Oryctolagus cuniculus: one gene and its partners. The protein of the gene in region 1 purifies or fractionates together with the protein of each later gene. This does not show direct contact. Links are inferred from orthologs where the notes say so. Each region holds a gene or a part of one and is shown on either strand. Other genes may lie near its edges. The genes, in order: CSNK2B, NKAPD1, RPS6KA3, RPS6KA1, SSRP1, ARK2N and EIF3J.

Region 1 (4,287 bases):
GATTCTGAGTCTTTCCTTTGACACATGGTGACTCTGTCTGCTCCCCACCTGGGCACAAACTGGTTGGCGGGTCGCTTGGGCCGGTACTCGGGATGCACCATGAAGAGCATGTGAGGGAAACCAGTGCCGAAGTAGGCACCATCCGTGTGATGGTGCCTCGATGACTTGGGTGTGTACACGTCCATGCACTTGGGGCAGTAGAGCTTCACCATGGCCTCACCTGGGATGTCCGACAGGCCTGGGAGACAGCCAGACTCAGCAGGCCAGGCACCCGCGACACTGCCGAGTCCCCTGCCCCAGAACTCAGCTCCCGCCTTGCTGAGCCCAACTCCTTCCCAGAGGACTGCCAGATGGTGCCCCCTCTCCCTTCTTCAATACTCACCGATAGGAAGCATTGGCTGGTTCTCACAGTATACACGGGGACAGTAGCCAAAGTCTCCCTGCTGGTACTTTTCCAACTGAAGGGAAAAAAATGGAAGGGATTGGTGGGTGGGTATGAGGATAAGCAGCGACCCCCACATAACTCTGTCCTCCACATTTCCTCCCTCTTCTTGGAGGTCCTTGTGCAGATCAAAGGGGCCCACCAACTTTCCCCCCAGTTAGGGAGGCTAATGACATCCAGGGCCATTTGCCGTCTGTTCTCTGAGGAAGAAGCAGTCCACAACTCTGACCAAGCTCACATCGCCCTCCCTGAAGACACCCCCTCAGCAGGACGTCCAGGGAGGACTCAGTTTCCCGGCCCAAACTCTGGGTTTTTCTCATCTCAGCTCGACTCCTTGACAGGGCTGCCAGATTACTGCTCACTGTAGGAACCTGTTTCCCTTACTGCCTCACAAGGAGTCACGCAGGCGCAGAGAGGCCTCACCATCTGGGCGATGCCTCGGTTGGTGAGGATGTAGCGGGCATGGATCAATCCGTAAAGCATCTCGGCCGCCTGCTCAATCAGGTCGCTCTGGTTGGGGTTGTCTTCCAGCTCTTCGTCTGAAATATGGGCCAGCCACATGCAACCACTGGCGTTCCAGCTTTCCCAGGTGCCCCGCCCACCCCCAGGGCTGTTGGCTGCCCAGTTTGCCCAGCACCCATCCTTGAGCTTCACCCAGTCCTCACGTGGGCATTTAACCTGGGTCTCTGCCCCTTCCACCAACCCAAGGAAGCCCAGCCTTCTCTCCACACCTCTTCAGCCTCTGCTCTCTTCTCTCCCTCCCAACTCCTTCCTTAGTACGTAAATACAAAGATGTCAACACAGAAGGTGGAACTCTAGACTGGAGGGTGCAAGGCAGGCAAAGAGGCAGTAAACAAGACCCGCGAGGAAACTCGCATAAGGAGGAGCGCTGAGCTACAAATTCAGAAAGTATGGCAGCAAGTGCTATCAGTCACAAAACTAGGCAAGAATTCAAGGAGGGGGGCAAAAATGCTGCTGGGACTTTGAGGTTAAGGGTGTCAGAGAACCAAAAGGAAGTTTAGAAATTCAAGAGGTAAATTCAAGAGGTAATTTGAAGAGAAAAACAGCCCCCCCACCATGAACCTTGAGGGTGTCTCACCAGGTTCCAGGTCCAAGATCATGTCTAGAGCTTGTCGATAGTGAGGCACCTGCTCATTGAGGCCGGTAAGGTTAAATTTGTCCTGGATGTAGTCTTCATCCACCTGGTAGAACACGGAGGTCAAGAGGAAAACTCCTACTGGGACCCCCAGCTTCTGAGCTGGCCAAGGTCACCTAACGAACGCCTTGTCGGCCACACGGCTGCGTCTGGTCTGCCTGTTTCCTACTCCAACTCAGCGTCAGTACTTCAGCCGCTGTCCCGAGTTCACACGCACGCCCTCCCCCCCGTGAAAGCTCCAGCTTCTCTCCTCCAAGGACAAGCAAGCACAGCAGTCTCCTTAGAGACACACTCGACTCCCGCGTCTCTAGTCCTGTTCCTCATCTCTAGGAACCAGTTCTGTCCTCTCCTGAGGGAACAGCTGCTCTCTGAGGAAGGTGGAGGCTGAACAGCTTGGTTTCTGAAGGTGGTTAGAATTCCTTATGTCAACACAGAGCTTTGCATGTTACAGAACATTTTAAGGTGCAGTATTCCAATTCTCCTAACAGCCCCCAGAGATAAGCACTACCAGTAGCATTCTAGTAATGAAAAAGCAAAGGAGAAAGGACACTTGGCACGGTGGTTCCTACATGGTTAGAGATAACCCACATCCCAAACTGGAATGCTCAGGTTCAAGTCCCAACTCCACTTCCAATTCCAGCTTCTTGCTAACACACACCCTGGAAGGTAGCAGGGTGATGGCACAAGTACTTGAGTCCCTGCCACCCACATGGGAAACCCAGGTAAGTTTTGGGATCTTTACTTCAGCCTGGCTGGTAGCAGTAGCTGTTGTAGAAATTTGGGACATAAACCAGTAGACAGAAGATCCTTCACTTTCTCTGTTGCTCTACCTTCAGATACTTTAAGTACAATAAAAAAATTAAAAAAGAAAAAGAAAAAAAAAAGATGGTCTGACTAGTTCAATGTTATCCTCCTGGGGGTGCGGTGGGGTGTGTGACAGAAATGGGACTTGGGCCCCAGTCTTGCCACATCGCCGCTGATTAGTGGGGGGTTACTGAGGGGACCCCTTCTTTCACGGGAAGGAGTTTCCACGGGATAAAGTGTGCAAAAGCTGAAGATACCCAACCTGAACGCATGGAACCAGCGAGTAGGAAGAACGAAAAGCACTCACTTCACAGAAGAATTCATTGCCACGGAGCCCACAAAACCAGGAAATCCAGGACACTTCCTCCGAGCTGCTCATCTTCACGTCAGCTGGAAACAGGAGTCAAGTCCAAGCTCTCCCTCCCCGGCTCTGGCACCTTCCCTCCTCCCACACTCTGTCTTTCAGCCATGGAAGAATTTGGGGCCACCCTTTTTTTTTTTTTTTTTTTTAAAGGATCCCAGCCTTTGGGACAGGCTTCTCTAGCTCTTGTTATTTACACCTCGGCCCCTTTTCTCTGAATGAACTTAGAAATTCCTTGGCAGGAGCCCACAAGTACCGACCCAGCAGTCCCTACCTACATCCCCCGCGCCCCCGATGGCCAGACCCCTCTCGCCTGTGTCAACTCTGGCAGAGTCCTCGGCTCGGGCTCCCTACCACCGCAGGGCTCCGGCACCCTTCCCCAAGAATTAGAAGTTTATCTTTGCCAAGCAACGACCGACACCTCCTTTTCTCACGACCCGGGGCGAGGGGCGGGCACCGCCAGGTACTCTTTCACGGAGTCCCCACAGCCTGCCTCCCGCTCTCCGGCCACCCTTCCCTCCCACGGTTACGGACCGGGTCACTTCCTTCCTCGCCCCCACCTCAAGGCGGGGAGACCCCATGTGCCGCTCCTAGGGACCGGGAACTCCGCGGGGCAACCACTTCACACTCACCAGCTGGACGGGGAGCGGGACCGGGGTGGGGGAGGGGAACAGCTGCTTCCAAAGAACGACGGCGACCGCTACAGCGAAGGCCGCGGACCCGACCGCGGCAGGCGAAGTCGGGTGGGGGGAGTGGAAATCGGGGAGGGTGGGGAAGAGGGCAACGCGCAAGCGCCGAGGGGCGAGAGCCGCGGTGGACGCTGGGAGATGGAGTCCGCTAGGGCGAGAGACCGGCGAAGCGAGGGAAAAGCGAACTACGAATCCCAGGACAGCTCACTCACGACCCTCGTGTCGCGAGGCCCCCGAGGACGCGGCTCGGGGGCGGGGCACAGCGAGGCGCCACCGGAAGCGGAAGCCAAGTAAGGCGTTCGGGGCCAGGAGCCTGGGAAATAGAGTCGTATGCTCACTGGACTGAGGGGCCAAGAGGGGGCGGGGGAAGAAGCGAGGCGAGTCGGGTCGCAGACGTTGCCCTCGGGGACCCTCAGTGAGCCCTGGCCAACCCTCCTAGTTCTTATCAAGTCGGGCACGGCCTTGCACAGGAGAGCCCCACGTTTTACCCTGAGCTCGGGCCTTCTGAGGTGGGAGGTACGAACGGGCTCCGTGCTGAGGGACCTGGGTCGGGTGTGTCTGTCCTGAGTTGAGCGTTATTGACAACCAGGACGGCCCGGTGCGCTAACCTGAGGCGGCGCCGGCCATCCTGCTGCTCGTCCCCTTGCACTTCTCCATTTCCTCCCAGGGCTTGAATGGGGTCTTCAGCTGAGGGCTCTACGCGTGCCCTTCGAACCTGCTCCGAGTAATGGTGAGGGGGTAGTGTGGCGTTATTTCATTTCACAACTTCTCGGCCTTCCACAGGTTTCCCTCCGTCTCAGGCACTTTCTTAAGCCAGAAGCTGGCTTCCCAGGTT
Region 2 (4,243 bases), on another chromosome or scaffold:
AGAACCGGCGCCCATATGGGATGCTGGCACTTCAGGCCAGGGCTTTAACCCGCTACGCCACAGCAATGGCCCTACGTATTTTTTTTTAAAGACTTATTTAAGAGTTAGAGAGGTCTTCCATCCACTTGTTCACTCCCCCAAATGGCCACAAATGCTGGAGCTGAGCACATCTAAAGCCAGGAGCCTGGAGCTTCTTTGGGGTCTCCCACGTGGGTGCAGAGTCATCTGCTTTCCCAGGTACATTAGCAAAGGAGCTGGATTGGAAGTGAAGCAGCTGGGACTCAAACCCGTTCCCGCTGCAGGCTGGGGCTTTAAGATGCTAGGCACAGTGCTGGCCCCGTGTTTTGTTTTGTTTTGTTTTGTAATTTATTTTATTTGAAAGGCAGCTGAGAGATCTATCAACTGGTTCACTCCCCAAATGGCCCCAATAGCCCGGTCTGGGCCAGACAGAAGGCAGGAGCCTGGAACTCTATCTGGGTCTGAGCTGGATAGGAAGTGCCACAGCCGGGACTGAACTCTAACCAGTGTTCATATGGGATGCCGGCATCGCAGACAGCAACTTAACAGGCAAGCCCCAAATGTTTTCCTTATTCTGTCATTGGTTAGTAGCCTTTACAAAGTGCTCCAGTTGTCCTCTCAGATAGGGCCTTACCTCCACTTGGACCGTCAAAAACCCCAAGGGAACAAAGCAGTCACTTTAAGTCTGGATTTCTTGGTGATCGCCTTGTTCCTACACCCTGAGTATTGGCTGAATGGTGCATCCTCAAACGTGAAATCGCCAGAATTGTGTAGGGGTGAGTACCACAGAATTTCAGTCCTTTAGTGGATAGAGAAGGCCCGGGTTCCAATCTCAGCTCTCTCCTACAAGCAGTGTGACTTCCAGTAATTAATGTACGAAAGTGCCTCAGGTGTTTTTTTTCTTCTTCTTCTTTTTCTTCTCTTAAAGAAGGAATACTTCTCTCCTTTGGGTCATTGTGAGAACCACTTTACGGAGAAGCTGGAACACTTGGATGACCTATGAGTAACTCCTCTAGGTCTTGGGATGACCCTCCTCGCCCCGCCCACCCCCCACCCCCCCACCCCCCGTCAGAGAGGTGTCCCACAACATCCCTGAAAAGAGCCCAAGAGGTTTAGAGTCTTCCAGTACTATCTTAGTGTTAGACTAAATAGGAAATGCAATTAACGGGCAATCATTCCTAAGGTCCGCAAACCCACCTCTTCTCGGTTCCCAAATCGCGACACTTGTTTCCCGGGTAACCGGACTGGGTACAACACCTAATTGGGTCCGGGAAGCTCCAGGCGGAAAGTGTTTACATCTAGTTCCGGAATCTCCCCTTCTGAGGTCCGGCTTACTTTTTAGCTGAGCCGGACTCACTTGACTTCCAAGAAAGGGCCTGCTTCCCTTCTGCAGGGGTCGGCCCCTAGACTGCCCAGGAAATTCCCCAGCGGGAGTCGCCGCCGCTCCCGTTGGTGGGAAGAATTTCTCCCAAGCACGGCTTCCGGCCTGAAAGGGAAGCCCCCTCCTTTTTCTCCCAGACCGCCTCCTCCCCCCCACCCCCGCCACGCGAGGCTGCGGCGCACGGTATGGGTGTGTTTGTGTGTATTTGTGTGGGGAGGGAGTTTATAGGGAGAGTCACCGGGAGCTCCAAGGCCGCTGGGGGACAGGGATCCCGGTGACAAAGATGGGGGTGTTTTCTCTGTCTTCTACCTGGAAACCCCAAAGGCCCCGTCAGGCACCGTAGACACTTCCTGGGGCCCAACGGAAGGTCGTACCACTCCAAAACGTCCCCCTTCTTTCCTGGGGAGTGAAACCCAACCCCCGGTGTCCGTTCCAGCGGAGCGTCAGCGGGCGATGCCCCGGTCAACCGGGCGGTCCGGGTTCCGCGCCGGCGCAGCCTCCGGCCTCAGCCAGGAGAAACATCTGCCTGTCGGGCTGGGCTGGGGCGAGGCAGCCGTGGCCTGGGCCACGGGTGAGGGCAGAGTAACCGGTGGGAAGGCTCCGTTTTCACGAAGGACTCGGGTGAAGCTGCAGAGCTGCCTTTGAGCCCTGACTCCTTGGCTTCCTGGGTCGATGGAGATCTTGTAATGGAGTGGTTCTTCGTCTCACACTAACAAGATGCCTGATTACCTCAGGATCGAGGGGTGAGTGAGCGTTGGGGTGGTCGCACAAAACCCCTGGTGACCACACACGTGAATATTCTTGTTAATCTAGTTTTAGGAAACTTCTGTACAAAATAGGATTGACGATGCCCCGAATGGAGAAATTTCGGTCATCTTGCATTTCATGCCTAAAAGGCATCAGTTTCTGTAATTGTAGACGGGTAGTTTCTGACGCTATCGAATCTGGGTGTTACTTCATTGCAAACTTTGGGGTTCCAGATTTGACATCTGATCTGGACATTGATATATAGTCGTTTGCATGAGGCAAGTTAGAACTTGAAGGGAGCTTCATCTAGAAGATAAGAATGGAGATATTATACATTTGGCCTTTGGTACCGGTTTCTGCATTCTCGGATTCAAGGAACAGCAGGATGAAAATATTTGGGGGGGAAAATTGTCTGTACTGACTTTTATTCTCATTATTCCCTAAACAGTATAGCATGATAATGATTTCCATGGCGTTTATGTTGTATTAGGTATTAGAAGAAATCTAGAGATGCTCTAAAGCCTACAGGAGATGTCATAGGTTATATGCAAGTACTGTGCCATTTTATATGAAAGTACTTCAGAAAGTTAGTGGAAGATGGAATTAAAAGCTAAGTTTACTTTGTTGCCAAAAAAAGAGAGAGAAATCCATGCATATGAGGGGTTCTTTAAAGAGTTCATGAAGAATGTATATTGTAAAAAAAAAAACTATATTGATTTCAAATACTTTTTCTACCAAAGTAGACATACCTTTTAATTCAATTTTCCATGAGCTTTTTGAAGTATCCTTGCATAAGGGATTTGAGCATACATGGGTTTTGGTGTCTATGGGTGGGGGGTTGGGGGTGGTGATGGTTCCAGAACCAGTTTCCATGATTATTGAAGGATGACTGTATTTGCCTAATATAAAATAGAGTTATTATGAGGATTAAATAAAAGGTGCTTAATTTTGTGCAGTCTTGTTCAAAGAACTTTAATGTATGTTATCTTCTTTCATCCTTACATTACAGGCTATTCCCCCCTTTAATGGTAAAGGAAAAACTATTCCTCTGACTTCTAGTCCAATGTTCTTTGCTTTACCTCATGCTTTTTTATGAACTTTAATAAAAGCAATGGTAGTAAGGTAAAGGAAATACTTACTAAGTGTTATCTATTGACTCATTTCAGATTGAAGAATGTCCCGGGTTCCTTTGGGGAAAGTCCTCCTGAGGAATGTCATCCGGCACACAGATGCTCACAATAAGGTGGGAGGTACAACCCAGTCATTCCTCAACACTTATTGAGATCATACAGTGTGACAAGGATTGTTTTGATACAGTTGAGGAGTCCAAAGTGAATGAACAATTTATTATCTACTTAAATAGATAAAAATAGTTTCATAAGTATTATATAGTAGAGATAGCTGCAAAGTACTTTAGAGTACCAAGGAAGGAATAAGGAAATCTGTGTTGGGGAATTAGAAAAGACTGCACAGGGAGCAAGCATATAGCCTAGCTGTTGAGACACCTACGACCCACATTAGAGTATCTGGGTTCAGTGTCTAACTGCAGCTCTTGACTCCAGCTTTGTGCCGATGCAGACCCTGGGAGGCAGTGACAATGGCTCAACTAATCGGTTCTGTCCCCTCATGGGTGACCTGGACTGTGTTCCCAGCTCTCAGCTTCAACCTGACCCAGCTCTGGCAATTGAGGGCATTTGGAGAATGAACTACTAGCGCGCTCTCGCCCGTGCTCTCTCTCTCTCTCTCTCTCTCTTAAATTTTCATCTATTTGAAAGGGCGACAGACACACACACACTGATATCTTCTATCTGTTTTACTCTTCAGATGCCTACAACAGCCAGGAACTCCATCTGAATTTCCCACTGCATGGAGGGGCCATCATCTGCTGCCTCCTTGGATGCATTAGCAAGAAGTTAGATCAGGGGACCTTGGCGGCTGCCACGGCTCACTTGGCTAATCCTCCGCCTGCAGCGCCGGCACCCCGGGTTCTAGTCCCAGTTGGGGCACCGGGTTCTGTCCTGGTTGCTCCTCTTCCAGTCCAGCTCTCTGCTGTGGCCTGGGAGGGCAGTGGAGGATGGCCCAAGTGCTTGGGCCCTG
Region 3 (3,985 bases), on another chromosome or scaffold:
TGGAAATTCTCAATTCTTTCCTCACTGGTTCTATTTTTCCAAATGGTATCAGATCATGAACAACCAAAGGAAACAAAATATCGAAAGGAAATTAGTCAAAATCTAGTTTTAATAAATCTAGGCAACATTGGCTCTGTTTGACATACTTTATGACAGAATAACAAGAAAATGGCAAATTGTAGAATTCTATCTGCCAGGTTTGGGAAAACATGACAGTAACTGCAATAACAAGGCTTTAATAAATGAGACTTGTTTCTGAAAAATACAGGACCTCTGACTACTGCTTATGTACTTATAGCCCAAAGTTTTCCACAAAGGATTTGAAGTAGTTATCCTAATATAAAGCAAAGCACCTGAACTGTAGCCACCTGGCTTCAGATGATGGCTCTGCCATTTCCTATTTATAATCTCTGTGCCCTTAACTTCTGAGACTTGGTTCCCTAATTTCTAACAATGGAGACCATAACCTTGTCCTACCAGGTCATATGAAGGAAAAGATCAAACAGAATGTAGCATAGTACCTGGCATAGAGTAGGTGCTAAGTAAATTAATACTAGTGTTGTGCCTACCTCATCCAAATGCATGCTATACAGAAAAAGGATAAAGTAGAATTTGAAATAATCTTTTTTACATATTGAAACATGCCAAGCAGAAATGTGGATCTGAGTTGTAACTTTTAATGTCTATCTAAAAAAAAAAAATCAGTCTGAAGGCAAATTCAAGTTCTTTGCACAAGTTCAGTGCTTTGAGAACATTTATTAACCTTTGCCTATATTTAATGCAAAAACATTTTTGAAGTTAAAGGGAAAAACCAGCCCTCTGGCATACTGTTTTGCACACTATCCATTCAAACGATGATTACACATTCCAAATTTGGCTTGCTTATAAAAGATTTCTAGTATTAGGTGAGCTAACAATTTTAAATGAAATTCTTGTAAATCTGCCAGTCCTAAAAAATGATTTTCTTTTTCTTTCTTTTAGATAATAAGTATCATTGTGTTTCCAATGGAAGAGCAGCTTTTAGTTTAGGTTCTGAAGTACGATCCAAAACACAAAATACTAAGCACCGATCGGAAGCATTATTACAACTCTGCTCGCCTTAAGGAGAACAAGTTAACATTTTTATACAGCAGCGGAGGTGACTGGGGGAAAAAACTGAAAAGCAATTTGAACCGATCCCCCTCCCCCTCCATTATACCGGAGAATGCAAGTGTCCCGCATCTCAGATCAAACTGAGCCTGGCTTTTACTGACGTAACCAGTAACCCTATCCACCTCTCACACTGCAGGGCAGCGGCTGCCGCCAAGTACACCACTCAGAGCCTGCCCCATTCCACCCCCGCGTTTCAGTCATGCTTTCCAGAAATGGGGTCACTCACTAACTATTACACACACGCAGCCTATCATCCTGTAATCCTCCAAAGTCCGCTGCGGAGATAGTAGACAGCAAAAAGTCAAGAAGGAAGAATCACAGACGCGCCACCATCAGGAATTGATTTTCCACTCCGGAGGGGAGCGCGGATACCCAGAACAGCTCTGGTCTGGATTACTGTCGCAGACCCCGAGTTGGTTCTGGGACAGGGGCGGCTGCGCTGCGTCCGGGGAGATTCTGCTCTGCCCCCTCTTTGGGTGTACTGTATGGGTTCGTGGCACTTGGTTGAGTGTCTCGGGGACGGTCACCAGCTCCCGGGAGAGGAAACCAGAAAGCCCTTTACGGCAGCCGCTGATCTCCTTGAATATCACCCTCTCACCTCCATGCCTCCACGCACGGGGAACTCAAGTTAAACTCGCAGGGACCTCAGAAACAAGGGGGAAGGGGAGACAGAAGACCTTAGGCTTCCACTTTGTCCCCTGCCGCAGCAGAAAGCGCTGGAGCAGAGGAGGAGAGGCGAAACCCTTGGCTGTCCGGCACCCCTTGCCGAAACGCCCTAGGGTCGACACTCATGCCCCGGTGCGCCAGTCTGCCCGCAGCAACCCCCTCCCTCGGCCAGACTCCCTGCTCCCCGCTGAACCCAATCCATAGCCTACCCTCGGCCCCCCGGAAAGTGGCCAAGATCCAAGGAAGCCCCCGACCCGGCAGGGCCAAACTTCCCAACTCCTCGCCTGCCCCCCACTCCGCCTACCGCTTCCCCCCACGCAAAGTTGATGATAATTGGCTTCTTGCACACCCCACGCGCCGCCACACCGGCAGCCCCCCGAGCGAGGGAGGGAGGTGAGGGTGCGAGTGGGAGGAACAGACAGACGGGCAAACAGACCAACCCCAACAACCCGAACCGGAATCCTGGACCCGGGGGAGAGCGAGCGGGAGAAGGGGCCAAGTGGCCAGCTCCGGGAAGGGAAGCGAGACGGCGGGGGCGCGCCGACCCCGGCCGCCCCGCTGCACTCACCTCAGCGCTGTCGGACGGGCTCTCCACAGCCATCTTCTGCCACGGGTCTGCCAGCTGCGCCAGCGGCATCTTCCCCCCCGGCCCGCTGCCTTCACCGCCTCCTCCCTCCCCGCCCGCCCCGCTCCGTCGCCGCCCGAGCCCCACGGCAGCGGCAGCGGCGGCAACAGCAGCAGCAGCAGCGGCGGCCCCGCAGAGGGCTCGACGCCGACACCGATCGCCCGAATGCCTAGCGCCTGGCTGGAGACGCCCGCACGCCGAGCGAGAGCCTTGCGCCGCCGCCGGGCACTGGGTCTCGCCCCTTTCTTCCTCTCCTCCTTCCGCCGCTGGGACTACGGCTCCGCCCCCCGCCGCCGGTTCCCGCGCCCGCTCCCAGCAGAACAGCGACCGCCGCGCGCTTCCCCACTTCCGCTCACAACATGGCGCCTAAGCGATACCTGTCTCTCAGAGCAAGGCTGGGCCGCCGCCGCCACCGCCGCGCGCACCCAGGGGTGGGGCTAGCGGAGAACACGCCCCCGGGCAGCCACACTCCGCTCCTCCCCTTTCCCACCCTCCTCGGTCTTCGCCCCAGCCTCAGCTTCTGGGCCTCGCCTACTTTCAGGAAGGGCGAGCCCAAGAGATCTGGGGGCGTCGGCCGGAGGCGGAGGAAAGAAATGGAAAAGGCAGGAGGGGGCGAAAGGCTGGGAGCTATCATGGGTCCTAGCAGGTCGGAGGTGCCTTGGGAACGACAGAGAACAGTGGCCCTCGCCCAATTGGAAAGGGAGATAGGCAAGGCGCCTGCCAAGGACCCGGGATGCGGGCACGGAGTATCTTTTCATCCTGTCTCCTCCGAGGGTGCGTGCGGGCGCGCCTAGTCAATGGGCACATCCCATAATGACCCAAGACTCTCCCTCCCCAGGGTCACACGCTGGGCATTCACCTGCCCGCTCTCCCCAATGGGGATCTGGAAGGCTTAGTGCCTCGGAACGGCTCCCGGTTTGATACAAAGCTCTGCAAGTTGGTGCTGTTGTGTTAAATTCTTGAGCTTTAGAATTCATTTCTCCTACACAAGTCGTCCTCCACCCCTCCCGCCCCGTCTCCGGCCAACTCCCCTCCCCAAGTGCGCAGAGCGCTCAGGCTTCTGCCGGAACCCTCGAAGCGTCCTACTCCCTGCTACCTAAATCTTCAAGGAGAAAACAGGCAGGCTCCTTAAGGCTGCCCCTCTCGGCAGAGGTTGGGGACTTATTAAAGAATATCTTGTGGGCAAGAGCGCAGGATTCCTGCTCCTCTGTTGACTTTAAATAAAAGATTAGATTAAAATCGGGCTGGCGTGGGTGGAGGAGGAGGAGAGAGAGAGAGGGAGGGGAGGGGTTCTGACTCCTCCTCCTGTCCAAGATGGGGAAGCCCTGCGTTAAGGAAACCCAATCCTCAAACAGCGACAGAGCCTCAGAAGACCCAGAGAGCTTGGAGGGGCAGAGGCCCGGGCATCCAGAGTGGATCCCAGGGGGCTGCGACTCCGTGTTCACCTCGCCAGGTGCTGCGGGTCGCACGCCTGGGCAGAAATGTGTAAAAGTCACAGCGCAGAGTGGAAAGCTACTGCAGCCCCTGGCTAATCGCCCTGCA
Region 4 (3,500 bases), on another chromosome or scaffold:
AGGTGACCCTGTTCTAGAAGAGGCCCCAGCCCTTGTCTGTGCACCCCCGAGGGAGGCCAGGGTGGGGCTGGGGGGTCACTCACTTCTCAGGCTTGAGGTCTCTGTAAATGATGCCCAGGCTATGCAGGTGGTCCAGACCCAACGCCAGCTCGGCCAGGTAAAACTTCACGTCCTCCTCTGTGAACATGACCTGCAAGAGGCGCGAGGGGCTTCAGTGGGCCCTGGGCAGGCAGCAGCTTCCTTGTCCCTAGGGTCTAGCCTCCTCGGCCCTCCGTATCATCACGGGGTTTGAAGTATGAAATGATGGCTGCCCAGGGTGGTGGTCTTTGTCGGGAAACAGCCCAGGGGTCCCAGGGCCGAAGCCTGGGAGGAACTGTGTTGTTGGCCCCTGCAGAAGGACTGGTGCACAGCTATGAACTAGGACAGGAGCTTCCCACAGCCTGGAAGGAACGCAGCGAGGCAGGGGGCATGGTATCCAGAGCGGCGGCGATTCAGAACACACCTGGGATTTGTTTGCAGAAGAAACATGGGAAGGTTCAACAAGAAACCAATAAAAATGTTTACTGATAGGGGATACAGGGCACTGGGGTAGGAGGAAGCCTTCCCCATAAATATTTTTCTTTTGAATCATGTAAATGTTTTACCTATGCAAACACCGCAATAAGGTTTAAACCAACCCCCCCCCCCCCACCCTTGTTTTAAAGCTTGGTTCTCTTTAAAGTTGGAATTGTGTTAATGACCGTATTTTTCGTATCTGGCTCAAAATCCTTTTATATCAGTTCAAAATCTTTTGGCTAACAGGTGGGACAAGAGTGTGCGAGTCTCCCGCTTTCTCGGTGCATCTGGGCTTCTTTTTTTTTTTTTTTTTTTGACAGGCAGAGTGGACAGTTAGAGAGAGAGAGAGACAGAGAGAAAGGTCTTCCTTTGCCGTTGGTTCACCCTCCAATGGCCGCCGCGGCCGGCGCGCTGCGGCCGGCGCACCACGCTGATCCGATGGCAGGAGCCAGGAGCCAGGTGCTTTTCCTGGTCTCCCATGGGGTGCAGGGCCCAAGCACCTGGGCCATCCTCCACTGCACTCCCGGGCCACAGCAGAGAGCTGGCCTGGAAGAGGGGCAACCAGGACAGAATCCGGCGCCCCAACCGGGACTAGAATCCCGTGTGCCGGCGCCGCTAGGCGGAGGATTAGCCTAGTGAGCCGCGGCGCCGGCCACATCTGGGCTTCTCCTGGCTGCTCCCAGCTCTGCCCAGGGCAGCCTGGAAGAAGAAAGACACACAGGGGAGAGGCACCCTGAGCTCCCCCCAGTCGGTGAACATCAGACCCAGGGCCTAGCCCTCCTCCATCCACTGGGGAGGAACTCTCGGAGGCGCTGCCAGGCCGGACAAGGCCTGGATCAGGTTCACCTGGGGAGGCCTAGGTGGCTCCACACCCAGGCCGTACGGGACCCAGGAGTGGGAGGCCTTGTGGTCCGTCAGTGGGTTATCTGCTCACCTCTTTTGAGAGCCGTGTGAAGAGGTCCCCACCGCGCAGGAAGTCCAGAATGAGATAGAGCTTGCCCTCTGTCTGGAAGGCTGGGGAGAGGGGCAAGAGTCACCGGCCGTGTGACCTGCCCCTCAGCCTGCAGGTGGGAGCTTGGACAGTGTAGACCACCGGCCAGGGTGAGCGCGGGCTGGTGCGGGAGTTCGGGGAAGGGCTGCAGTCTCACCATAGTGCAGCTTCACCACAAAGGGGTGGTTCACGTCGGCCAGGATGTCCCTCTCCATCTTGGTCCGGACGCGGTCGCGCACTGGCCAGAGGAGAGGCAGTCACCCGGTGCCGGACACACGGCACACCCACTCACTCCCCAGGGCCACCCGAGGGCTCTCACTAGACCCGAGCTCCTGGGGCTCTGTGCCCCAGGCTTTGGGGACGCTGACTTCACACTGCCTCCTCCGTTCCGGGTCTGGTCCCGGCTTCCAGGCCTGCTCTCAGCCCCCAGCCCTCGGCAGTGCCCATCTGTCTAGCCCTGCGCTCCAGCACGCCTCCGGCCAGGCTGAACAACCCGTGTCCCTCTGCACCACGCTGTCAGAGCCCCACATCTTCCCTGGCACCTCGACCAGCCCCTGTCCTCTAGCAGACAAAGCCCAGATTCTAGAAGCGGCTGGCGCGGATGCTCACCCGGGAAGCTGACTAGGGAGACAGATTCCCTGGGCCCAAGACTCTGAGCCACAGGTCTGGGTGGGCTTCCCCACATATTTTTTTATTTTATTATTTTTTAAAATATTTATTTATTTATTTGAAAAGCAGAGGCAGAGAGAAAGAGAGAGAGGGAGGGGTCTTCTACCCACAGGTTCGCTCCCCAAATGGCTGCAATGGCCAGAGCTCGGGCCCATCTGAAGCCAGGAGCTTCTTCGGAGTCTCTCATGTGGGTGCAGGGTCCCAGGCACTTGAACCACCTTTACTGCTTTCCCAGGCCATTAGCAGGGAGTTGGATCAGAAGTGGAGTAGCCGGGACTCGAACTGGTGCCCAAATGGGATGCCAGCATCATAGGTGGAGGCTTCACCCGCTACGCCGCAGCGCCAGCCCCTTTCTTATTTTTTTAAAGAATAGAAGTTGCAGGGCTGGCGCTGTGGCGTAGAGGGTGAAGCCACCGCCTGTGACACTGGCATCCCTGAGTGCCGCTGGTTCAAGTCCCATTTGTTCCACTTCTGATCCAGCTCCCTGCTAATGCACCTGGGAAAGCAGCAGAAGATGGAGATGGCCCAAGTCCTTGGGTCCTTGCACCCACATGGGGACCCAGAAGAAGCTCCTGGCTCTGGCTTCAGCCAGGCCCAGCCCTGGGCCGTTGCGGCCATTTGGGAAGTGAACCAGCAGATAGAAGATCTCCCTCTCTCCTTCTCTCCCTGTAACTCTGCCTTTCAAATTTAAAAAAAAAAAAAAAAAATATTTAAATATTGGGGCCGGCACTGTGGTGCAGCAGGTTAAAGCCCCAGCCTGCAGCACTGGCATCTCATATGGGAGCCGGTTCAAGTCCCGGCTGCTTCACTTCCAATCCAGCTCTCTGCTATGGCCTGGGAAAGCAGCAGAAGATGGCCCAAACCCTTGGGCCCTTGCACCCATGTGGGAGACCTGGATGAAGCTCCTAGCTCCTGGCTTCAGATTGGCTCAGCTCTGGCCATTGCAGGCATTTGGGGAGTGAACTAGTGGACGGAAGACCTGTGTGTGTGTGTGTGTGTGTGTGTGTGTGTGTCTTTACCTCTCTCTGTAACTTTCAAATAAATAAACCTTTACCAAAAATATCTTGATTCAGACATCAGCTGGTCTTCCTGCCCTCAGTCAGGTCTCACCTCCCCCTTAGCCTCCCAAGCTGGACGAGGGCCTTCCAGCTACTTCTGACCAGGACTAATGTCACTTCAGGCTAACTTCAGACTAAGAGTGCTGGACTTCCTCTTCAAAGCACTGGCTTTTGTTCATTTGCATTAGTTAAGAGAGAGAAAGAGAGAGCATGAGAGAGTGAGAGAG
Region 5 (4,257 bases), on another chromosome or scaffold:
GCGCGGTGCGCCGGCCGCAGCGCGCCAGCCGCGGCGGCCATTGGAGGGTGAACCAACGGCAAAAGGAAGACCTTTCTCTCTGTCTCTCTCTCTCACTGTCCACTCTGCCTGTCAAAAAAAAAAAAAAAAAAAAAAAAAAAAAAGAAAGTCCTCAGACAAAAATCGGGATCCTCCGCCCCCAGGGGCTCTGCTCACCACAAAGAACATCTGGCGCTGATCCTTGTGGGGCAGCAGGAAGAGACGCAGTACCGTGGTATAGGGGATCTTGTAGTCAAAGGTCTTGCCGTGCAGGTGCAGAAAGGTGGGGTAGATCCGGATGTCGTAACGACCACGGGGAGTCAGGCACTGCAGCTCCCGGAAGATGCAGATGGCGTCTCCAGTGGCCTGGATGACGTCCGCCTTGGACAGCACGTTCTGGGCAAAGGCCTGCCGAAGCACACACTGTTAACCCGGCAGCAGGCCAGCCCATGGCCTGCTCAGCCCCGTCTGCACCGGGGCGCCTGGGGAGGCCTCACCTCCACGGGATCCACGCCGTCCTCCTGGGTGGGAGGCACGTAGAAGCGGACCTCCATGAGGGACACCTCCGCGTCGTCGTTCTGGTGGAATTCCAGCGTCACCTCGTTCTTGCCTGTGGTGCACTGGGACACGTTGCTGAGGGGTATCTCGAAGACCGGCTGGTCACCAATGTCAAAGGAAAGCAGCTGCCCTGTGAGAAGAGGGCTGCTCAAGCCTCAGGCTCCCCCCACGTCTGCATCGACAAGAAGCCCACCGAACCTGGAGTTCCGTAAGGGCGGGGTGCCGGGGCTGTTTGTTCACGCTGCACCCCGAGACCAGGCACAAAGCCTGACACACCACAGGTGCATTGAGCAACCCACCCGACAGGAAACCGGAGACTGTGGCAGAGGAAGAGAATAAGAAAGGCTGCAGCCCTTGATCCTACCTGCTCCCCAAGACTCACCTCCAAACTTCACCGTCCCCCAGTTCCAGCCCTTCACACACAGGTCCTTCTCCATTAGCTCAAGGCGATAGTGAGTTTTGAAGAAATCAGAGAGTTTCTCAAACTCCTATGAGTGGAAGGGAGAAAGTGCAACCACAGTCAGCTCCAGTGGCCTTAACCGACACGAATGTCCTGACATTACCTATATCCAAAAAATTGCCCCAATAGGACTTCTACCAAAAAATCCATGCAGGGAGCTGGTGCTGTGGCACAGCCTGCAGTGTCAGCACCCCATAAAGGTATTGCTTCAAGTCCCAGCTGCTCCACTTCTGAACCGGCTCCCTGCTAAGGCGCCTGGGAAAGCAGAAGATGGCCGAAGCCCCTGGACCCCTGCACTCACATGGGAGACCCAGAAGAAGCTTCTGGCTCCTGGCTTCAGCCTGGTACAGCCCTGGCCTTTGCAGCCATTTGGGGAGTGAACCAGTGGATGGAAGATCTCTCTCTCTCTCTCTCTCTCTGTAACTCTCCCTTTCAAATACATAAATAAGTCTTAAAAAAAAAAAAAAAAAAGTCCATGCTGACTCAGCAGCTCAGCTCTGAAATGGTTTAAAAGGTTGTGGAGAGAGGCTGCTCCTGGGAGCTGGACCTCAGACTAGGGGAGGAGTAAAGAGAGGGACTGGCATTCCTGTTTCTGGACCTCACCATGTTATCTGACTTCCTAAACTTTGTGTGTTCATTGTTTTAATAGAAGTGGACATTAAAGTTAAGTCTTTCACTCAGAACAGTTTAAGAGGGAAAAGCAAAGCCTGAACTAAAGCATCCAGCTAAGATTCTGAACCTGGATACGAGCAAACAAGCAGAAAGCACGATTTAAACCAGAACAGTAGGAAGCAGATCTTCTGGAACCAAAACACAGAAAAGCTGTGAACGCTCTAGAACACTCAGAGCTGACCCACTGATTGCTCAATGGCCTCAATGGCCCTGCCCAGGGAGCCAAACCAGCACCACGGGGGCTACCAGAGGGAACCTCAACTCCCTCTAGAAGACTAAAAGCAGACAGGATGGCACGGTAAAAAGGGGGCTCACGGCAACAGGGCGTCTCACCGATTCTCGGAAGCCGTCATACTTGTAGACGTGGCCATTCTTCGTGAGCAGTTTAAGTCCGTGGCCGAGAGCCACCCGGCGCCAGATGCCCTCCGTCAACTCCCCAGCCTGGATGTTGTCTACTTTGCCCGTCTTGCTATTCTTGAAGATAATTCCCTGGCGACTCAACCTCAGCCGACCGTCATTCTGTTGGGAAAGTGAGCCCAGATGCACGGGGACAGTACAGACCGTGTCCTGGGTGCAGCTCTACCCAGCATTCACTTTGACTGCCAGGTGATCAGGGCAGGAGCAACAGCTGAAGCGAGGACCAGTAAAGAGACACAAGTGTCCAGGAAGTCTCGGTTCTGCACCTGGCTCGGGCATCCAGAACCTGCGCAGGCCATCAGTCTCCTCGTTTGAAACACAGAATAGCAAATACGGTCCCTTCACACCCTGAGATCCTACAACTCTCGCGACTTTTCAGAATTGCCTTTTATTGGGGGGAAACACCAGGTGCACGTTATACAGAGACTTCCTTTTCCCAGTAGAAACGTCACCAGGACAAGCTCTCGTTCATGTACATCAACTTTAGCTCGCTCCCTCCTTCCATCTCTATTAAAAACGCAAGCCCTTCTCACCATGGAGCCTTTCACCTCCTGATAGACATCGTTGAACTCCAGTGTCTCTGCCATGTTGACCTGCCCCTGGTGGCCTGGGCAGAGCCCTAGGCCTCACAAGGGAAACCGAATACACTGGGCGCTGGGCCCCAAGTCCTGGGTGAGTGTGCAGATGGTCAGCAGGTTGGGAATCTGAATTCAAGAGAGAGTCATGAAACGCAGCGCCGCGCTCTGCTCACGGATGGAGCCAGGTGGCCGCCCCTGGGGGTTCACAGACTCTCCTCTGCCCGGGAACCAACAGGCCGGCTGTGCCGTGCTCCGGGGGTCAGCCCCGGTAATCCCAGGCCCGCAGAACCACCCCAAGCCAACACCCTCTCTGCGCGCCACACCGGGAGCCATGGTAACGAGCAGCGGAACCCCAAGGCCTGCCCGCAGCGTGCACATCTCCCGCGCCCCAACCCAGCTCAGAGCGCTAGGTTCCATCCTGGCCCTCATGGTTCTCCCCTCCTGCTAAAATGGATTCGCCCGCTGCCTGCAGATTCGAACGCGGAACGGCCCATTCGGAGCGTCCCGCGGGGGAGCGGGGCCCAGGGACGACGACCACCCACCTCCTCAAGCTGCAGCCTCGCGACGGGCCGGGCGCGGGCGGTGGGCGCTTCGGGGGATGCGGGGGAGGGGGGCGGGGACGCGGGGAACGGGAGTTAGCTGGGGAAGCTTTTCCCGCGTGCGCGGCCCCGCGTCCCGCCACCGGAAGCCGCGCACTGACCATCGAGAGGATGAGCTGGCTAGAGAGACGCCAACCAGGCCCGCCGCAGAGACAGTCGCCTAGAGCGACGGCGACGCTGGAGGACCCGAGGCCGGGGCGGTAGCGGTGAAGTCCGACTGACTAGAAAATGAAGGCTCATCGGGCTTCTTAGAACGTTGCGGACACGTCAAGCGGAGACTGGATCCTAAAGGGAAATCGTGTACCGTGGCTTTATTTTTGTCAGATTTCGGAGGTTGGGGGGTTAATTTCTGTAGGGGTTAATTTCTAGGGGTAGAAAGGAAGCTGTGGAACACGAAGAAAAATACCTCAGAGTTGCGGAGAGAAACGCGTGCGGGCGTTCGTGTCCTTTGTGGCAGGCCTGCTGGCCGGCTGCCCCCTGCTAAGTGGGATTGATCCTTTCTGAAATGAGTTCACCGTCTACACCCAAATTCTGCACCTCTGTAACCGCAGTGGCGCTGGTAGTGACTGGCAAATGGCAGGATCGAGTTCGAGCGCTGGTGTCGGGTTCACCTTAGAGCCAGAACTGATTGGAAACCACATGAGCTCATCTTGGAAGAGGTGCACCTTGCAAAATCAGAGCCGGCCTGAGCTGGGAGAGAGGTTTGGAGTTTATCTCCTCCAGCCTCCTGCGGAGAGCAGTTGCCCAGCGGCTCTGGGAGTCGGCCACCCAGGTGGAGACAGGAAGCCGCCTCGGACTCCGGTCCCGTTCTCTTCTGCTGTAACCACAGTGGTTTTACGTCCCGAGCCACTGAGCCCATGTGTCCTGCAGAAAAGCATTCGTTACACGGGATATTTAAACTCAAGATTTCCCTGACGCTGGTTACACCAGCTTGCTAACTCAGTCCTGGGATAAG
Region 6 (4,270 bases), on another chromosome or scaffold:
CTTGCAATAGATCAGGTAGGGCAGAATACTATGGAAAACACATAGATAAATATGTCAAAACATCATCTCGCCTTCATTCCTTCCATGAGCTTTTTATATGCCTGTGGAGCCACCCACCAGGCTGGGCACCCAGGCCACCGATGTGACCAGAGGAGGTCCTTCCACGTGCAGGGCTCAACCCGATCTGCCCCAGTGGGCAGGACAGACATGAGGTCACCTAGCATTAGGACTACATGACCATGTAATAGAAATATGCACCACATCTACTAGAACCGAGACAAGGAAGCTGCTGACCCAGCCTGGGCTTCTGTGGGGAGGCCTCACCTGGGAGGAGATCTCTGAGCCATGACTCCAAGAATGAAGAGAATTTTGCAGCATAGAGAAGAGGAAAAGCATTGGAGAAAGGTATCACAATGGAGCCAGGCATGCTGAGAATGAGCGTGCTTAGAAGTAGACACTTGTTTGGGAGTGTTGAAGGCAGTGGTGAGAGGAGTTTAGAAAGAATGGAATTCCCAAGGAAGGAAAACTTCAGAACCTGGACTTTCTGGATGTGTCTTCTTTCTCCTTGCTGGAGTGGAAGTATGTGTAATAAATCTCTTCCTCATCTGTGGTTTTGTACCAATTAAGAAATAAGACACAGGTAGTAGGTGATTTAATTTTTTAAAAAGGTTTGATCGATTTATTTGAAACACAGAGAGACAAAGAAAAAGATCTGCTGGTTCACTCCTCCAAACACCCACAACAGCCAGGACTGGGCTGAGCCATAGCCAGGAGCATGGAACACCATCTGGATCCCCCATGTGGTAGCAGGGACCCAAGTACTTGAGCCACCCCTGCTGCCCCCAGGGTGTGCATTCTCAGGAAGCTGAGTTGAAAGCAGATCTGAGACTCAAACCCAGGGACTCTGATGCAGGATGGGGGGCAGCCCAGACAGTGACTTCACCACTGTGCCAACCACCTGCCCAGTCCATATTTAAATATCAACTTTATGGCGGGTAGAATCTCTGTTGGAGGACATGGTGCACACCTGCAGGCCCCACACACTTCCTAGTATGCTTGTGGCTAACGTAGACAGCCCTTCCCTAGCTGCAAGGGGTGCTGTACTGTCCCCCCGGTTCCCTGGAAGGCAGATGTGGGACCTGATGAGCAGCCCAGAATATCCCCTCTCTGTAGGCAGGCAAGTCCTTGCTGGCTTTGCTGAGCGTATCCAGTTCCTTCCCCGAAAACTACCAAGCAGGCAGGTCATTCTTCTTCCATAAAGAGGCCAGAAACAGCAGAATTGTGGCTCACTTGGCAAGGCAAGGCATGGAGGCCCCACCCCACAACTCACGCCCACCCTGTGGTTGCCACATTGCTATTGTTTTCAGAAAGAAAGAACTCCCTCCTATTTGTGCAGGAAACTAACTTTTTAAGGCCCTTTCACATCCATACAACAAAGAAGAAATCGTCTAAGTCCACTTCCTGGTTTTAGGGATGATAAAAGCCAGGCTTGGGGGATTCCAAGATTCGTCAAGGGCCTCGCAATTAGGAGTCACATATCTGCCAGCATTAACAAAAGTCACAAGTTCATTTGGCTTTAAGGTCCCCAACCCCAAACCTTCCTCCCGTGCCTTCCCACAGCAGCTGTCCTGCAAACCAGCACAACGGTTTAAACATTTGCATGGCCAGGCTTGGGGGGAGGGTGTGAGCCCCAGTCCATCTGAATTTCTAGGGGTTGAATACACTGGGCATGCATGAAAGAGATGAATGGCAGAAGAATTAGAAGACTGGAGACAGAAAATGCTTTTTCAGAAATGGGTGAGGAGAGGGTCTTTCAACAACAGAGTGGTGAACTTGGCATTGCTGTGAGGCCTCTGCCGGGCTGGTACCCGGGCACCTCTCCTCCTCCTCCAGGGATCTTTAAAGGTCATCTTGGGCTCTGTCCTCTGCTTCATCCCTATCAAATTTGTTTCCAAGTTCTCTCATGTCTCCTGCTTTTCCATCTCTGCTGCCACATCCTGGCCTGGGTCCTTATCACTTCGTGCTGGGCAGGACTCATGTGTCTGGGTGGGGTGGCCTGGGAGGCAGCAGGGAGGCTATCTGGGGAGATCAGGCTGCAGTCCACAGTGGCTTCTATCTCTCCGCCCCCACCCCCCATGGCCTGTGTGTTCCTCCTTATCAGCTCTCTCCTGAGTACCCCTGGCCTCACCTCACTCAGCCAGACACTGCCCACACTGGAGGCTTCCTCCACCCCCCAGCCTCTTCCTCAGGTTTCAGTTAGCCAGCTGCCCACAGAGGGCCACACACTTATTCTCCCTGAAATAGAAGTGACCCGTAGCAGGGCTTAATGAGATCATCCCCCGAGGAATTTAATAAGGGACAATCCCTTGAGCCAGTGGGAAGAGGGTGTCATACGGCTGGTGAGGGAGGGTGAGGGGACAGAAGGCAGAGGTCCACCACTCCACCTCTGGGGGGCATGGGTGGTCTGGGACCCCCGGAACTGGAAGCAGGGAGATTTGGCAGATGCACTGGGTGAGAGAGCACAGAATACAGCCTCACCTGCTCCTGAAGTTTGCTGCGAGCTGGCAGGAAACCGATGGCCTCCTTGACTCAGCTTCCCGTGAGTTCTCCCAGCTGTTTCTAGAAGTCACCAGCCCAGGAGCTTTGGGTGTCTCCAGACAGACTCTGCGAAGAGCGGACTCTTTGCCCCCTCCTAAATCCCCGGAAACGGGGGCAGGTGTCCAGCATAGTGGCGCTGGCCTTGCGGGGCAGGGGAAAGAGGATGTTTTGTTCTCCTTGCTCTTGAAAGCCGATCGCCTCTGCAGTCGGAGCTGTGCCAGCTGTGGGCAGTGGCCAGCCCGGCAGATGGGGCATTGAGAACACGAGGCGGGGCCTCAGCTCTCTGCTTGTCTTTCTGCCTGGGCACCAGCAACCCCAATGGCACACCTTCTTGGCACCCACACCCCCATCCCACGTGCAACCCCTTGGAGGACAGATCTTGTCTCTCAGCACCAAAGCTTCATACATAGAGCGAGAGCCTGAGGGACTCTGAGGCATGACTAGTGCAACCATCTCCCCAGTTTCCAGAAAGCAACTGGACACAGGGAAGTTATGGGACGTGCCTAGTGCATGAATTTTATTGATGCATAACAAATCACTACCAGCTAGCAGATTAAAGCAACACACACTTATTAGCTCGGTTTCTGTCCATCAGGAGTCTGAACTCGCTTGGCTGACTCCTCTGTACCAGGGCTGCACCAGGCTGCAACCCAGATGTCAGCTGTGACTGCAGCCTCACCAGAGGCTCACACGGGGAAAGACCTGCTCCCAGGCTCCCTCAGTGGCTTCCAGAACTCGTATTCTTGCTCTTGTAGCACTGAGGTCCTATTTTCTTGCTGGTAGCCAGGTGGATACTCTTGCAATTCAAGGCTGCCCACAGTTCCTTGCCAAGGGGCCTCTCCACGGGGCTTCATGACTTCTTCAAAGCCAACAATTGGGACAGTCTGTGACCACAGGGAGGGTCTAGTCTCTCTTTTAAAGCCTTTTGCTTGATGAAGTCAGGCTCACCCAGGATAATCAATGTTTTCATTCAAGAAAATCAACTGATTTGAGACCTAATTATATCTGCGAAATGTTTTCACCTTTACCAAATTCTGTTTGCTACTAACAAGTCACAGGTCTGCATGAGGGATCTCCAGAGAGGTAGAAACAATGGAAGAGAAAGAGAGGGGAGGGTAAGGAGAGGAAGGGAGAAAGGGGGCAAGAGGAGGGGATTTTTCAGGGGAATGGGTTCATGTGATTGTGAGGCGGAGAAGTCCCATCTGCCGGCTAGAGCTCCTGGAATGCTGCTAGCATGGCTCAGTCCAAGTCCAAAGGCTTTGTGGTTTCTTCCATTAGTCCTTTGAGTCATCAGAAGGGCAAGAGCCCAGCTCTGCAGGGAGGTCTCTCAAAATCCCTCCTCGTTACAACAGAGAAGCCTCAGTACATGGAGCCAGGCCCACCACAAGTCCAGGACGCCTGCAAAGTGAGAGACTGATCTCCAAAACTGGGTCCATTCCTGTAACCCAAGAGAACACGCAGGGCGGGCGGAGTTGGAGGGTCAGGAGAGACAAGGGAGGAGTTGCATTTGGTGCAGTGGTTTACTCACTACTTGGGATGCTCCCATCCCATGTTGGAGAGCCAGAGTTCAAGTTCTGGCTCCATTTCCAATCCAGCTTCCTGCTAATGTGCACCCTGGGAGGCAGCATGATGGTTCTGAAGCTTGGGGCCCTGCCACCCACATGGAAGACCC
Region 7 (3,500 bases), on another chromosome or scaffold:
AATTCAGCTCTTTTAAAACTTTTCTGTCTCCTTTTAGTTAGAAGAACCAGAAGAACCCAAAGTGCTAACACCAGAAGAACAATTAGCAGATAAACTGCGGCTAAAGAAATTACAGGAAGAGTCAGACCTTGAATTAGCAAAAGAAACTTTTGGTAAGTTGAGGGTGCAAAAAAAAATGATGAGGGTACAGATTAGTGCAGTATTAAACTGTTCCACATGGAAATTCCAGAAGTTTTACTAGTTACGAAGAAAAAAAAATTTTTTTTTTTTTAAGATTTATTTATTTATTAGAGAGGCAGAGGTAGAGAGACAGAAAGAAAAGTGTTCCATCTGCTGGTTCACTCCCCAGATGGCTGCAACGGCAGGAGCTGAGCCAATCCAAAGGTAGGAGCCAGAAGCTTCTTCCAGGTCTCCCATGTGGGTGCAGGGGCCCAAAGACTTGGGCCATCTTCTGCTTTCCCAGGCCATAGCAGAGAGCTAGATGGAAAGTGGAGCAGCCAGGATGGGATGCCAGCACTGCAGGCAGCAGCTTTACCTGCTATGCCACGGCACCGGCCCTGAAAACATCTACTTTTTTTTTTTTTTTTTTAAAGAAAACAGTAGTAGCTAATTTAGGTATTAGAAAGCAGTTTTTAATCTCTTTCTGTATGTTTGAGACTTCATTACTTGAGAAGGTAGAGTAGGGTATGTGTTCAGACTTTTGAATAATTGTTTTGAGTTTCAAAACAGATTAAGATAGAAAAAGTCGATGGACTCAAAGCACATTTTTTTTTCCTTAAGATTTATTTATTTGAAGGCCAGAATTAGAGGCAGAGAGAGAGAAAGACCAAGATCTTCCATATGCTGGTTCACTCCCCAAATGGCCACAATGGGGGGAGCCGGGCCAATCCAAAGCCAGGGATCAGGAGCTTCCTCTGGATCTCCCACGTGGTTGCAGAGGCCCAAGCACTTGGCCATCTTGTACTGCTTTCCTAGGCTATAGCAGAGAGCTGGATTGGAAGTGGAGCAGCCAGGACTCAAACCAGCACCCATATGGGATGCTGGCACTGCAGGCAGTGGCTTTACTTACTACACTACAGTGCCAGCCTCCACACTTCCTAATAGAATATATTCATCAGCTGAATGAGATTTGGATGAATTGCAAGGTTTGTGGCCTTGAATTTTTTTTTTTTTTTTTTTTTTTTTTGTGGCCTTGAAATTTAAATACTGAACTGACTGTAGGGCTCTCCTGTTGCCTTAAGAGACTTAGACCACAGCTAGGGCACTCAGTTTGGCTGTGTCTTGTGCTCAGGATGGTTTCTTTCTATGACCCTTTTGGCTCTCACCATGGCATATATCTTTAGAGGACCTCCATTTCTATATTGTACCTGCAGCAGTGGTTAGTGCATGAGATAAAAGAAACCTGTAGGTCCTATAAATAAATACATTCAGAATGCTCCAGGGGGGAGAGTTCCATGGCACAGAAGGTAGACATGGCCCGAGCTGAACAAAAGTTTATTGACGTTGTTACTTACTGAATGCTTTTCAGAGAAGTTTGTAAAGTTTTTGAAAGATTTATTTATTTGTTTGAAAGGCAGAGTTAGAGGGAGACAGAGAGATGGATGGATGGACCTTCCATCTGCTTGTTCATTCCCCAGATGGCTGCAGTGGCCAAGGCTGGGCCGGGCTCAAACAAGGAGCTTCTTCGGGGTCTCCAAAATGAATGCAGGGGCCCAAGCACTTGAGCCGTCTTCCACTGCTTTCCCAGGTGCATTAGTAGGGAGCAGCCGGGACTCTAATCGTTGCTCATTCAGGATGCCAGTGTTATAGATGATGTTAACCCACTGCACCACAATGCTAGCCCCAGAATAGAATATTGCTGAAATTAAAAACCTTGAGGGGCCGGTGCTGTGGCACAGCGGGTTAAAGCCCTGGCCTGAGTGCTGGCATCCTCTATAGGTACCAGTTTGAGACCTGGCTGCCCCACTTCCAATCCAGCTCTCTGCTATGGCCTGGGAAAGCAGTAGAAGATGGCCCAAGTGTTTGGGCCCCTGCACCTGCATAGGAGACCTGGAAGAAGCTCCAGGCTCCTGGCTTTGGATGAGCACAGTGCCAGCTGTTGCAGCCATCTGGGGAGTGAACCATCAGATGGAGGACCTCTCTCTTTGTCTCTCTGTGTAACTCTTTCAAATAAATAAATAAATCTTTAAAAAAAAATCCTTGAAATTGAAGTCTATATAAGAAAGATCTGCTTATTCTTTCTCCCCTATCCTTTGTCTTATCTAAAATGGATCAAGCAGGCTGACTGTTGTGATTGTTCCGTTTTTATGATTTATTTATTTGAAAGGCAGTGTTAGAGAAAAGGATAGAGAAAGAGATCTTTGATCTGTTGGTTCACTCCCTAAATGGCCGCAATGGCTGGAGCTGGGCTGTTCCACAGCCAGGAGCCAGAAGCTTCTTCTGAGTCTCCCGTCAGTGGGGCTTTAGCAACCTCAAGCGTTGTGGATGCTCCTGTGTACCAGCGTATGCTTGGCAGGTCTTCAGTGTGTTCATCTAATTCTAGAGGGCACTCAGCCATTATGTGTTTTTATAGGATGGTGAGAACTGCCCTTAAAGAGGTAGGTTTATGCAGTGTACAGAAAACTTAAGTGTGAGACATCAGCTTCAGATTAAAAGGTAAAATCAATATACACTCATTGTCTTTGGCTTACCGGATTCTACTGTTCATTCTCTCATACTGAAATTCTGAATCTGTGGTATTAACAACAACTAATTTTCTAGGTACTGAGAAGGATGGAAAGCATACTTATCCCCGAGACTGAAATTCTTTTAGGTAGATTAATTTTTCTATTGGTATTTACCACATGGTTTGCCCCTGCTTAGCTTCTACATTTATTAAAATGTCTTGGAATTTATTTTCATTTTATTTGATAGGCAGACAAGGAGACAGATCTTCTATCTGCTAGTTTACTCTCCAAATGCCAGCAATAGCCAGAGCGGGGGCAGGTTGAAGCCAGGAGACTGAAGCTCAGTATGCATTTCTCATTTGGGTGGCAGGTACCCCTGTACTTGAGCCATTACCTGCCGCCTCCCAGGATGCATGTTCACAGGAAGCTTGGTTGGAAGTGTGCCAGAACCAGGCATGCCAGTATGGGCTATGGGTGTCCCAAAGGAACCTTAACGGCTGAGCTTCTGGATTTAGTGAACTGAATATTTTTACAGAATCCATCTTTGTTTCCTATGCCTTATTCCCTTGTCTCCCCAATTTATTGTGGGTTATTCTTGGATAGCCTTTTCATGAGAGCATCCTTTTCATGATATGGATGCCTTTAGCAGCTGATAAAACCTGTGGACCTCTTCCTAAAATACATATTTTAATTAAAAATTTTTCCTTTATATTTGCATGGCAGTAGGAGATCTTCCATCTGCTGATTCATTCCCAAATGCCTATAACAGCTGAGTCTGCATCAGGCCAAGGCCAGGAACCAGGAACTCAGTGTTTATCTCCATGTGGGTGGCAG

Evidence for each region.
Region 2: the proteins of CSNK2B (region 1) and NKAPD1 purify together in Homo sapiens (affinity purification with mass spectrometry; 3 studies listed by BioGRID and IntAct, counting the BioPlex papers as one, with this or other methods). This does not show direct contact. The link is inferred for Oryctolagus cuniculus from reciprocal best matches to the Homo sapiens genes CSNK2B and NKAPD1.
Region 3: the proteins of CSNK2B (region 1) and RPS6KA3 purify together in Homo sapiens (affinity purification with mass spectrometry; 5 studies listed by BioGRID and IntAct, with this or other methods). This does not show direct contact. The link is inferred for Oryctolagus cuniculus from reciprocal best matches to the Homo sapiens genes CSNK2B and RPS6KA3.
Region 4: the proteins of CSNK2B (region 1) and RPS6KA1 purify together in Homo sapiens (affinity purification with mass spectrometry; 4 studies listed by BioGRID and IntAct, with this or other methods). This does not show direct contact. The link is inferred for Oryctolagus cuniculus from reciprocal best matches to the Homo sapiens genes CSNK2B and RPS6KA1.
Region 5: the proteins of CSNK2B (region 1) and SSRP1 fractionate together in Homo sapiens (co-fractionation; 5 studies listed by BioGRID and IntAct, with this or other methods). This does not show direct contact. The link is inferred for Oryctolagus cuniculus from reciprocal best matches to the Homo sapiens genes CSNK2B and SSRP1.
Region 6: the proteins of CSNK2B (region 1) and ARK2N purify together in Homo sapiens (co-immunoprecipitation; 3 studies listed by BioGRID and IntAct, with this or other methods). This does not show direct contact. The link is inferred for Oryctolagus cuniculus from reciprocal best matches to the Homo sapiens genes CSNK2B and ARK2N.
Region 7: the proteins of CSNK2B (region 1) and EIF3J purify together in Homo sapiens (co-immunoprecipitation; 3 studies listed by BioGRID and IntAct, with this or other methods). This does not show direct contact. The link is inferred for Oryctolagus cuniculus from reciprocal best matches to the Homo sapiens genes CSNK2B and EIF3J.

The regions. Positions count from the first base shown.
Region 1 is NC_091436.1:138,947,093-138,951,379, forward strand, and holds the start of CSNK2B (casein kinase II subunit beta), read right to left. Parts: upstream 2,801-4,287; 5' UTR 2,782-2,800; coding exon 2,710-2,781; intron 1,645-2,709; coding exon 1,542-1,644; intron 982-1,541; coding exon 866-981; intron 459-865; coding exon 383-458; intron 239-382; coding exon 49-238; intron 1-48. UniProt on the Homo sapiens protein: Regulatory subunit of casein kinase II/CK2.
Region 2 is NC_091432.1:104,018,910-104,023,152, forward strand, and holds the start of NKAPD1 (uncharacterized protein NKAPD1), read left to right. Parts: upstream 1-1,443; 5' UTR 1,444-1,582; exon of another isoform or gene 1,583-2,142; intron 2,143-3,312; 5' UTR 3,313-3,320; coding exon 3,321-3,389; coding exon of another isoform or gene 3,390-3,396; intron 3,397-3,970; exon of another isoform or gene 3,971-4,243.
Region 3 is NC_091453.1:6,322,380-6,326,364, forward strand, and holds the start of RPS6KA3 (ribosomal protein S6 kinase alpha-3), read right to left. Parts: upstream 2,801-3,985; 5' UTR 2,456-2,800; coding exon 2,387-2,455; intron 1-2,386. UniProt on the Homo sapiens protein: Serine/threonine-protein kinase that acts downstream of ERK (MAPK1/ERK2 and MAPK3/ERK1) signaling and mediates mitogenic and stress-induced activation of the transcription factors CREB1, ETV1/ER81 and NR4A1/NUR77, regulates translation through RPS6 and EIF4B phosphorylation, and mediates cellular proliferation, survival, and differentiation by modulating mTOR signaling and repressing pro-apoptotic function of BAD and DAPK1.
Region 4 is NC_091438.1:144,950,243-144,953,742, forward strand, and holds part of RPS6KA1 (ribosomal protein S6 kinase alpha-1), read right to left. Parts: intron 1,785-3,500; coding exon 1,704-1,784; intron 1,570-1,703; coding exon 1,490-1,569; intron 191-1,489; coding exon 84-190; intron 1-83. UniProt on the Homo sapiens protein: Serine/threonine-protein kinase that acts downstream of ERK (MAPK1/ERK2 and MAPK3/ERK1) signaling and mediates mitogenic and stress-induced activation of the transcription factors CREB1, ETV1/ER81 and NR4A1/NUR77, regulates translation through RPS6 and EIF4B phosphorylation, and mediates cellular proliferation, survival, and differentiation by modulating mTOR signaling and repressing pro-apoptotic function of BAD and DAPK1.
Region 5 is NC_091432.1:14,784,035-14,788,291, reverse strand, and holds the start of SSRP1 (FACT complex subunit SSRP1), read right to left. Parts: upstream 2,801-4,257; 5' UTR 2,713-2,800; coding exon 2,659-2,712; intron 2,228-2,658; coding exon 2,042-2,227; intron 1,065-2,041; coding exon 959-1,064; intron 707-958; coding exon 516-706; intron 427-515; coding exon 196-426; intron 1-195. UniProt on the Homo sapiens protein: Component of the FACT complex, a general chromatin factor that acts to reorganize nucleosomes. The FACT complex is involved in multiple processes that require DNA as a template such as mRNA elongation, DNA replication and DNA repair.
Region 6 is NC_091441.1:31,335,697-31,339,966, forward strand, and holds the start of ARK2N (protein ARK2N), read right to left. Parts: upstream 2,801-4,270; 5' UTR 2,539-2,800; exon of another isoform or gene 2,329-2,538; intron 1-2,328. UniProt on the Homo sapiens protein: AMPK substrate important for exercise capacity and skeletal muscle function.
Region 7 is NC_091443.1:67,490,370-67,493,869, forward strand, and holds part of EIF3J (eukaryotic translation initiation factor 3 subunit J), read left to right. Parts: intron 1-37; coding exon 38-152; intron 153-3,500. UniProt on the Homo sapiens protein: Component of the eukaryotic translation initiation factor 3 (eIF-3) complex, which is required for several steps in the initiation of protein synthesis.